2 linked regions of the Arabidopsis thaliana genome follow. The protein of the gene in region 1 interacts with the protein of each later gene in a pairwise test. Each region holds a gene or a part of one and is shown in the gene's direction. Other genes may lie near its edges. The genes, in order: AT1G70340 and PDH-E1 BETA.

Region 1 (5,187 bases):
GTTATTAATTCCCGGTTGAACCAGTTGCTAACCGGTTATCGGCTCATTTTTAAATATCTATGGGCCGAATTAAGCTTTGTACTGGGTCCTTATCGTAAAGATCCGACCCGACCCGGGTTTAAAACCTCACCTTCGTAAATGACAGAAATGTCGCCGAAGTTTTTTTTGAGAGTTTGAGAAAAGAGTAAACATGGCGGCCAACGGCGTGAGAAGAGCTCTTCAGGCATCGTCATCCTCCGGGAAGATACTCTTTGGTCGTTCATCAGCGGCAACTTCTGCTTCGAAGATCGGAAAATCAGCCGGAATTGCTTTCGGGAATGGATCATCTTCTTCAACTCGTCCCTCACTTCGTAGACTCACATTCTCCAGGTTAGCTATCGAATCCTAGAACCGAGATTCTACAGGCGATAGATCTGTTTTCAATCGAGAAATAGTTTGATTTTGCGTCTACAATGTATGAGCTTTATGCTGAAGAATTAGGGTTTATCTCTGAAATGTAAATTTGGGTTTTGTGTTTAGGGTACCTGTGGAATTGAGTGCAGGGATTTCACTAATACCATTACATAGTGTTACTGCTTCAGCTTTGCTCACTTCATTGCTATCTCTGAGCAATCAAAACTGGAGTTGCTTATCAGAAGGTAAATTTTTTACTTGTGTTCATGATTTATGTTTAGAATTGAAGTTGATTCTGAATTTCTGTTTCCAGACTAGGAGTAAATGTAGTCTCAATTGGTAAATAGGATTCCATAAATGATCTGCCTTGACATGCTAATAGAAGTAATCGGTTTTGTATAGTATATCAAGTGATCGGCTTTATAGCTAATGATCTTTTTCTTCGCATGTTTTATTACGAAAACGTAGCAGAAGGGCATTGAGTTTGTATAAATTGTTCCTTGTCATACTATTGCTCCATTGTGACGACCTATCACTGTCTATCTGACCTAATGAGAGTGGAATCTTATCGATGGTAGTAAAATGATGTGTTGATTCACATTTACGAAACATTGAACCAGTGGATTAGATTGTTCAGACTTGTGTTGTGTTGGTCTATTTGCACAGTGACTAATCTAAGTTTGCATTCGATATTTGCAGGATTTGCTTCAACACTATAACATGGCCTGCAAGTTTTGATAGATTCCAAGAAATTTGTTTCATTTCATCGCTGTATTTTGCAGTTTGTCCTAGAAGTTGGAGATATCGAGAAAAAACACAAACCCTTGCTTTCTTCTAAGGGCTAGTTTGTTCTGTTTACCTAATACAATTGTCATATTCAATTGATGATTCCGTTACCTTTAACACTTTGCCTGGAAATAAACTACTCATTATGCTTCATGGTTTCCATTACCTCTCTGCCAGTGAATCTGACTTAAAGCTATTTAATCTCGTTCATTAATGTTCATGATTGAAATTGAATCACTATTGGTGAATTATGTTTAGAAATTGAATCAGACCCTTGTTTTCTTCTAACATCTAAGGCCTACTTTGTTCTTTTTGTTTATACATTTATCATCTTAAATTGGTAATCTCGTTACTTTAGCACTTCTGGCCTACAAATAAACTACTCATTATGCTGAAATTGTTTGAGTTCCCTTACCAAAACCAATTAAGATACTGTTTATAGTAAAGAAAAAGTGATTGAAACAGTTCTGACTTTCTTGTAATTTTGTAGTCGGAATCATGCGATGTTTATTGGTTCCACCAACTATGCACTGTCAAGTGTCAACCACCAAATACACTATACTAGAGACTTAACCATTAGAAATTGGTTCTTCAAATTGGCCATATAAATTATAAATCCATGAACTGACTAAAAAGACTCATCGTTGCTTTTTGTGAAGTGTTAAACCAAATGATCACGGATATAAATTAGAATAATTGCGACACAGATCTACCAGCAATTTCGACCGTTGCAACAAAGCCATGATTCAAAAAGTTTGCTTTTTTAATCTTACCGTTGGCTCCTAGCAACTGCAAATCCTTAAGATCAACATCTCCTTCTTAATTCTTACCCAGTTATTGAATTTTCTGAAACTATCGTTCTTGATCTTAAAAGCTCAACAAAAATGGCAGCTTTGGCACCTGGAATTCTTCAAAAGCTAATCCAAGGTATGAAAACAGGAATTAAACCAACTAGAGAGCACCGAAGCTCTATGTTACAGGTCACAGATATCGTTCCCATTGATCTCGACGAGAAGTCTCTGGAGCCGAAACAAGGGTTTCTCATCAAAATCTCTGATTCCTCTCACTCGATCTACGTCTCTCTCCCTTCGGATCAAGACGACGTCGTTCTCAGCAATAAGTTGCAGTTGGGTCAGTTTATCTACGTTGATCGGCTCGAACCTGGATCCCCTGTTCCTGTCATTAAAGGGGCAAAACCCATACCTGGCCGGCACCCCTTGCTTGGGACGCCGGAGACATTGGTGGTTCCGAAAGAAAGAACTGATCAAGAGATTGGGTCGAAGCCTAGAAGAGGATCTTGGGGACAAAACGTCGACTTTTCTTCGTCTCCGTTTGTTGTGAAACCAATGGCGTTGGAGTTTGACCATTCCACGCCGGCGAAGAGGTCTGTTTCAGCTAGATTTGCAGCGTCTCCGATCAGAAGAGGTGGAGTGAGATGCTCTTTTGGTGGAGGGGTTTTGGGGAAATTGGAAGGAGAGAGTCCGGCGACGGCGATGCTAAGGAAGAGTTGTTTTGTTTCGTCGGCTTCGAAGTTTCCGAGAAGTAGAAGTGTTTGTGACAGACAGGCCAAAAAGAACAATGCTTCTCTTTTTAGTCCCTTCAAATCCTCTCTAGGTATATTTTGCTTTTAACATTTCTATTGATCATTTAGTGTGTTTACAATGATTTATTCAGGACAATGCTTGTTTCTTGATTTCAGAGGCTCAAGAAGATGTTGTTCCCTTGTCTACCTCGAAGAAGATAAAACCCGAGAAAGATACCAATTTATCAGGAAGGCTCAACATACTAAGCAAGGTGATTTGAACTCCATTTGTGTTCTTCATTGAAGTTTGATGCTTGGAATAATATCATATCTTTCTTGAAAGTTCAAATAGTTCCTTAATCTTCTTTGTGTTACTTTGGTGACAGGAAGCAACTCAGCTTCGGGAGGTAGCTCAGAAAGTTGCCCTTCAGGCATTGCGAGAAGCTACAATCACGGAAATTGTTGTTCGTCATACCAAGTATATAACCCGAAACTCTTCTTTCCTACGCTTTTTTATTAGTCGGATTTGAGTTGGAATGTAATGTGTTGATGTGGTTTTGTTGGGACAGGACGTTCACCAATCTGAGTAAATCAGCAAAAGCTGATTGCCCTGCGGTGTGCTTTGAGAAGTTCATGGAGTTTCACCAGCAGATGGCACAAACCATTGGCGAACTCACTTCCATTGAAGTAGCTGCTACTCCAGATGCTGAGAACAAGTCACAGAACATAAACGCAAGAACCGAAAATCAGAAACCAACAGAAGAAGGGTCTTCTTCGATCCTGCATGAAATCGCTTATAATTCTATTGATCAGGAGAAAAGGAGATCAAAGAGACGGATTGTCCTGAAGCAGCAGAGCGAAGGGAAGACAGTGAGATCAAATGATGAGAACAAGAACCCAGCTTCTGGCGGTATAAGCAACACGATTAGGTTAGCAAAGGAGATCGAGGATGAAGCTGCAAACTGGTTCATGGAGTTCATCGAAATAGCTCTGGAGAAAGGTATGAAGAAATCTAGAGGCCCTGATGATGCAGACGTTAAGAAGGTTCCGCAATCTCTGATTCTCGGGGTTTTAAACTGGATTGAAGTCGAACAGTCTGATAGCAACAACAACAAGAGACGCAGAGTCCATCCAAAAGCATCAAAGATCACTAGAAAGCTCAGAATTAAACTGAAGAATCCTTGAACCACTTACAATGAGAAACACTGAATACACGTTGTAGCCTTTTACAGCTTATAAGTCTTTTGTGTTCATGGTGTAGAAAGAAGAATTTTCACATATTACTGAAGGAAAAACGAACAATTCACACAGGATGATTCACAGATTAATGAAGCTGAGTTTGTCGAAGCTTAAAGAATTCAACAAATACAGATAACAAAGCTTTGGTAGAATCAAATGACCCAGAACCAAGCAATGACAGATCCAGAGGCCAAACCAACAACCAAGAACATCACAGTGACGATTCCTGCAGTCTCCGAGTGTCTCAGTGGAACCGATTTTGGAGCCAGAATCATCAAGACGCTTGTCAAGTACCCGTTGGTAAGTCCCAATAAGCATGTCAGTATAGTTACAGGAATCTCAGTCCTGAGAAACATCGGACCGTGCAAGCAACCCCAGAAGAGAGGGTAAAACAAGAGCCTAGCAATGGAACCACCAACAGCGATTTTCTCATCCTCCAGCATGAATACAGCAGTCAGACACTTACCAACCAAGTCAAACACATTGTACGCTGCAATAAGCAGAATAGGGTACCAATCTGTAAGAAGCTCTGAATGAACATCCTCAGTAATGTATCCAGGAAATATCGACAATGTCACCATGTATAAGAGAACAATCCCGAAACCATGAGATTTAACTTTCGTCACGATATCCCAGAGTGTTGTCCTCCACGCTAAACCGGTTAAAGAACCTTTCTCTTCGCTCTTCTCTCTGATTAGTTCTTCATTCTTACGCTCCTCATGGAACTTGATCACCGGAAGCTTATGCGCTACGTTGTAGAACACAGCACAAATCACCATAACAACAATCCCCACAGCAAAGTATAGATTCGCACTTTTTCTCAAACCATCAGGATCTTGAGGATACACAGCTTTAGTCAAAATTCTCAATAGTGACACAAGAACACCTACACATCCAAAATTCCCAAAAACCTAAATTAATCTAACCACAGCAACCAAATCATTCTCCATTATTGAGGAAGATGAAACATTTACCGGAGCCAGCAGTTCCGGCGACAACAGCTTGCATATACCTCTCCGGCATTTCACCGGCAACACCGATAAGACCTCCTTGCATAAGTGCATCACCTAGACCGGATAAGGCAACGGCGGCGGAAGTAACATCGAATCCGGCGTATAATCCGACCTGTCCTTTAACATAAACCAGATCCAAAACAGGAACCACAAGCAAGGCGATTACGAAGAGTAAAAGACCGAGATTGATTCTAAAGCTAGCGAGGCTCTTATGTGCATAGAAGACAACGATAA
Region 2 (5,005 bases), about 16 Mb from region 1:
GGTATTGTCAATAGAAATCTGCACCACGAAAAAATTACAGATTCATCAAAACTACTTCCTCTATCACAATTACAATTTCTGAACTGATAAAGATTCATTCACCTAACAATTTCATTACAAAAACAACCAAACTACACTGTTAGAGAGCAAAACATAACCATAAAACCAAACAGAAACTAAAAAAAACACTCAATTTTGCAAATCTAACTAACTCCTGATCAACAGAATCTTTCAAATCTTGTTTGTTCCTCAAAAACATTACGCATTATAAAGTTTCAGTTCTAGGTATCAAAATCCAGATTCTTCCGATCTTGGACGAGTCAACAAACTTACATTGGCCCGGTGGTACGAGAAACACGGCGAGCTTCGTCGGCGGAGAAATGATCCGGCGGTGTGTTAATAGCTTTGTCGAGGTCAAAGAGTGCGTAACGAACGGAATAACGGAAAGAGTGGCGGACAGGACGGAGACGGTCGTGCCAGACTGTGCCTTCGTAGAAAGAGACATTAGGATCGACGGCGGCGCGTGAAGGAAGGAGACGGTGGAGAAGGAAGCGAAACGGGAGGAGAAGAGAGAAGAAGATGGAAGTGATTGAAGTGTAGATGATTGAACAGAGGAGAAAGAGCAATTCCATATCTCTACCTCTGTCTCTCTATCTCTATCTGATCTTTTTCAAAAATCAGAGATTGACATTGATGACCCTTCAAATGCAGAGGTTTGGTATATTTATGATTTAATGCCACGTTTAACGATAAGTATTAATTTAACGAGTAATTTACTTTTATTATTTTTGAATCTAATAATGCCGTTTTAAAATGCTATAAGTTAGTATTAATTTAGAATTTGTCTCATAGAGGCCATTGTTATCTTCAGTGACAGTATATTATTGTGTTGTGTGGACCCAAAAGCCAAAAAGGATTGTTTTATTTAATGTTGCAACCAGTTATTATCATAGGGTATTTATCGTATAATCGTGGCTGTTGCGTGGACGTTACTAAACCACTGTATATAATATGTATTTGCATATGGATAAATAATTAAATCATCTCTCAAATTTATAAAAATTTGCATTATGAGAATTCACAGAACTAAAACTCGTAGAATGAAAACTGCATACTAGAAAATCAGATAATAATTTTTTTAAAAAAAAATCAGATAATAAAATAAATAACTGCATACATTTGATTGGTAAATTTTTTATAATCGCATTAAAATAATATTTTACCATATATGTGTTACAAATCAGAGTATAAAATATACAAAACAATATATTGGTAGAGACTAGAGAGACTCAATGTAAATGCTTTAGTTACGTTTATATTTCGCTTATGAAAATTTGTTCTTTGTGGAGAAAAAAAAAAGTTCTTTTTTGACGAAAATTTGCTTACTGGATAATACTGATCTATTAATTACTGGGCCAAGACACTTGAGGCCCATCAACTCCTAGATCGGTGGAAACCTCAAATCTCACAGTTAACGTAATTAGGTTGGTCCAGGTGGTTAAGCAAACCCAGTGATAATCCACAAATCATATACGTACACGTGCCAATCCAGTCGTTAAGTAACACGTGTTAAATTAACATTGGTTGTTATACAATAGAGAAGCCACATGAGTTCGATGAAAACAATGTAAACATGTGGATTTGATTGCACAACAACAATACACATAATTTAATTCGATTTCGACAATTTCATTTAATTCTTCGATTTCTCCGCTTGTCACTGTTTCGTATCGCCATTTTCTGTTTGCATACACTTGTATATATTTATATTAACAGTCCAAAATTCTTCGAAATTGTCCCGAGCTTTGAGCATATAAAAAATGTCTTCGATAATCCATGGAGCTGGAGCTGCTACGACGACGTTATCGACGTTTAATTCCGTCGATTCCAAGAAACTCTTCGTTGCTCCTTCTCGCACAAATCTTTCAGGTTCGAATTTTATTTGATGATCGATCTGCATTCTCTGATTTCGATTTCTGGTGTTTTGGAGCTTCTATTGAGATGGATTTGTGAGATCTTAAAGCAGTTTCGTTGTTTGATTTTGATGCAGTGAGGAGCCAGAGATATATAGTGGCTGGATCTGATGCGAGTAAGAAGAGCTTTGGTTCTGGACTTAGAGTTCGTCACTCTCAGAAATTGATTCCAAATGCTGTTGCGGTAATGTCTTTGTCTCCGATTTTGTGATTTTTATGGTTTCTCCTTCTAATCTCTAATGATGTACGTTTTTGTTTTGTAGACGAAGGAGGCGGATACGTCTGCGAGCACTGGGTTTGTTTTGCACCTTTTTAGCTTTGCAAATTCGATTTTGATTTTACTCTTTTGTGCTCATTGAAGGATTTAGACACTGCTTGAACAAATCTCTAATTGGATCTTTCATGTTCTGTTCTAAATGATTAGATTGTTTCAGTAGTTTTATTACATTTTAGTGGGGATTCAAAGTTGGATAACGATGAGGAAGTTTTTAACTATGTGCTATTGGGTGTGGTGATGTAGGATCCTAGCCAGTTCTAGAGTAGTCAAAACACTAATCTATAGTTGATAGTGATGGCAAAAGCTTAATGTGTTGCATGTCTGCTTCCAGTAATCATTCTAGTGATGCCTTTGGTTGTGCTTATGATGCCAAATGTTTAGGTTAAACCGTTAAACCATTTAGTTCATTCCCATGAACATAGTTTAACTCTCAAGAACATTTCTGGACATCATACGGCAATTGGTTAGGCTTCTGTTACATATTATGCGACTTTCCATTTAGTGAATGTTTCTGTTAGGGGTTTGTGTGTTGTCTTCATTTTCACATAAGCAATCCATGATGATGTCACCATGGCATTTTCTTTCATGTATTAGTCGTCACAAATAGCACATTTTCTTTATCTACCTTTAAACTTCCATGCTCATATTCAATATAAGTGTCATGATGATGCCTTTTTTTTGTCAAAAATACAAAGTGTGACCAATCTTCTCGTATGAATTTACAGACATGAACTATTGCTTTTCGAGGCTCTTCAGGAAGGTCTGGAAGAAGAGATGGACAGAGATCCACATGTATGTGTTATGGGTGAAGATGTTGGCCATTACGGAGGTTCCTACAAGGTAACCAAAGGCCTTGCTGATAAATTTGGTGACCTCAGGGTTCTCGACACTCCTATTTGTGAAAATGCATTCACCGGTATGGGCATTGGAGCTGCCATGACTGGTCTAAGACCCGTTATTGAAGGTATGAACATGGGTTTCCTCCTCCTCGCCTTCAACCAAATCTCCAACAACTGTGGAATGCTTCACTACACATCCGGTGGTCAGTTTACGATCCCGGTTGTCATCCGTGGACCTGGTGGAGTGGGACGCCAGCTTGGTGCTGAGCATTCACAGAGGTTAGAATCTTACTTTCAGTCCATCCCTGGGATCCAGATGGTTGCTTGCTCAACTCCTTACAACGCCAAAGGGTTGATGAAAGCCGCAATAAGAAGCGAGAACCCTGTGATTCTGTTCGAACACGTGCTGCTTTACAATCTCAAGGAGAAAATCCCGGATGAAGATTACGTCTGTAACCTTGAAGAAGCTGAGATGGTCAGACCTGGCGAGCACATTACCATCCTCACTTACTCGCGAATGAGGTACCATGTGATGCAGGCAGCAAAAACTCTGGTGAACAAAGGGTATGACCCCGAGGTTATCGACATCAGGTCACTGAAACCGTTCGACCTTCACACAATTGGAAACTCGGTGAAGAAAACACATCGGGTTTTGATCGTGGAGGAGTGTATGAGAACCGGTGGGATTGGGGCAAGTCTTACAGCTGCCATCAACGAGAACTTTCATGACTACTTAGATGCTCCGGTGATGTGTTTATCTTCTCAAGACGTTCCTACACCTTACGCTGGTACACTGGAGGAGTGGACCGTGGTTCAACCGGCTCAGATCGTGACCGCTGTCGAGCAGCTTTGCCAGTAAATTCATATTTATCCGATGAACCATTATTTATCATTTACCTCTCCATTTCCTTTCTCTGTAGCTTAGTTCTTAAAGAATTTGTCTAAGATGGTTTGTTTTTGTTAAAGTTTGTCTCCTTTGTTGTGTCTTTTAATATGGTTTGTAACTCAGAATGTTTGTTTGTTAATTTTATCTCCCACTTTCTTTTATTTAGACCCTTAGAATTTTCTTTACACTTTATATGTGTTCATGGTGCTAGTTACAATAAATTTTAACCTGAGAATTTTCTTTACACTTATTATAAACACATACACAACTCATTTCCTTCTGAATCCAGACAACGACTTTATTACAATGACCCCCATGTTAAAATAAAACAAAAAAACTTTCTACGTACCAATAACCAATTTACAAAAATGAAAGTAAAAAACCCCTAGAGAAAGCTTTTGCATTCCAAAAGGGTTCTACTAAAAAGAACCGCCCAAAAAAAGAAAAACAACAGTTAACAAAAAAAATAAAAAGACAAACATTGGTTCTTGGTATCTTATATCACCACTTGGCTGATTTACATTTAGCAGCTCTTCCTGTGTCGTTTAAGAACGAACCAAAAGTCTTGATGACTTCTTCATAGGTTGGCCTTTTGTAATCCACTGCTTGCTCTACCACTTCTTCTGGCTTCGCCCATTTCCACTCCGCAAACTCTGAATCCGCTTCGTTGTTCGCTAGATTGATCTCTTTCTCGTCCTCATCGTTCCTCAGTCTCACTAAATACCTGTAGGAATTATTAAGTTTCAGAACAATGAGCCACATTCTTTGCTTTCACGAAATTAAGTAGTATCGAAGGGCTTACCATTTCTGAGCTTGACCATGCCATTCACCGCCCCAAAGACGGTTAACTTTTGCTTTTACTGCTGGTGGAAAATCATATGTCAACCAATTTGGGACCTGTTTAGACATTAAAGAACCCACATTAGTAAATATATCCTCTGATTCATATCGGTTCGCGCAAGTGTTAACTTAAATGTTAGCGACCTCAGAGACGATTTCAGCTGAAACAACACCAGTTTCTTCTTGTAAC

Evidence for each region.
Region 2: the proteins of AT1G70340 (region 1) and PDH-E1 BETA interact in a two-hybrid assay, tested with the Arabidopsis thaliana proteins (one large-scale study listed by BioGRID).

Annotation. Positions count from the first base shown.
Region 1 is NC_003070.9:26,503,266-26,508,452, reverse strand, and holds AT1G70340 (dicer-like protein (DUF936)), read left to right. Parts: upstream 1-1,780; 5' UTR 1,781-2,063; coding exon 2,064-2,793; intron 2,794-2,878; coding exon 2,879-2,973; intron 2,974-3,087; coding exon 3,088-3,179; intron 3,180-3,270; coding exon 3,271-3,886; 3' UTR 3,887-4,092; downstream 4,093-5,187. Other genes in the region: AT1G70350 (uncharacterized protein), read left to right, coding at 191-369, 520-638, 1,093-1,112; ENT1 (equilibrative nucleotide transporter 1), read right to left, coding at 4,093-4,826, 4,915-5,187.
Region 2 is NC_003070.9:10,583,293-10,588,297, reverse strand, and holds PDH-E1 BETA (pyruvate dehydrogenase E1 beta), read left to right. Parts: upstream 1-1,617; 5' UTR 1,618-1,820; coding exon 1,821-1,929; intron 1,930-2,050; coding exon 2,051-2,157; intron 2,158-2,236; coding exon 2,237-2,268; intron 2,269-2,975; coding exon 2,976-3,948; 3' UTR 3,949-4,193; downstream 4,194-5,005. Other genes in the region: AT1G30130 (DUF1365 family protein), read right to left, coding at 1-18, 334-632; NUDX25 (nudix hydrolase homolog 25), read right to left, coding at 4,477-4,699, 4,778-4,872, 4,960-5,005. UniProt on the Arabidopsis thaliana protein: The pyruvate dehydrogenase complex catalyzes the overall conversion of pyruvate to acetyl-CoA and CO(2).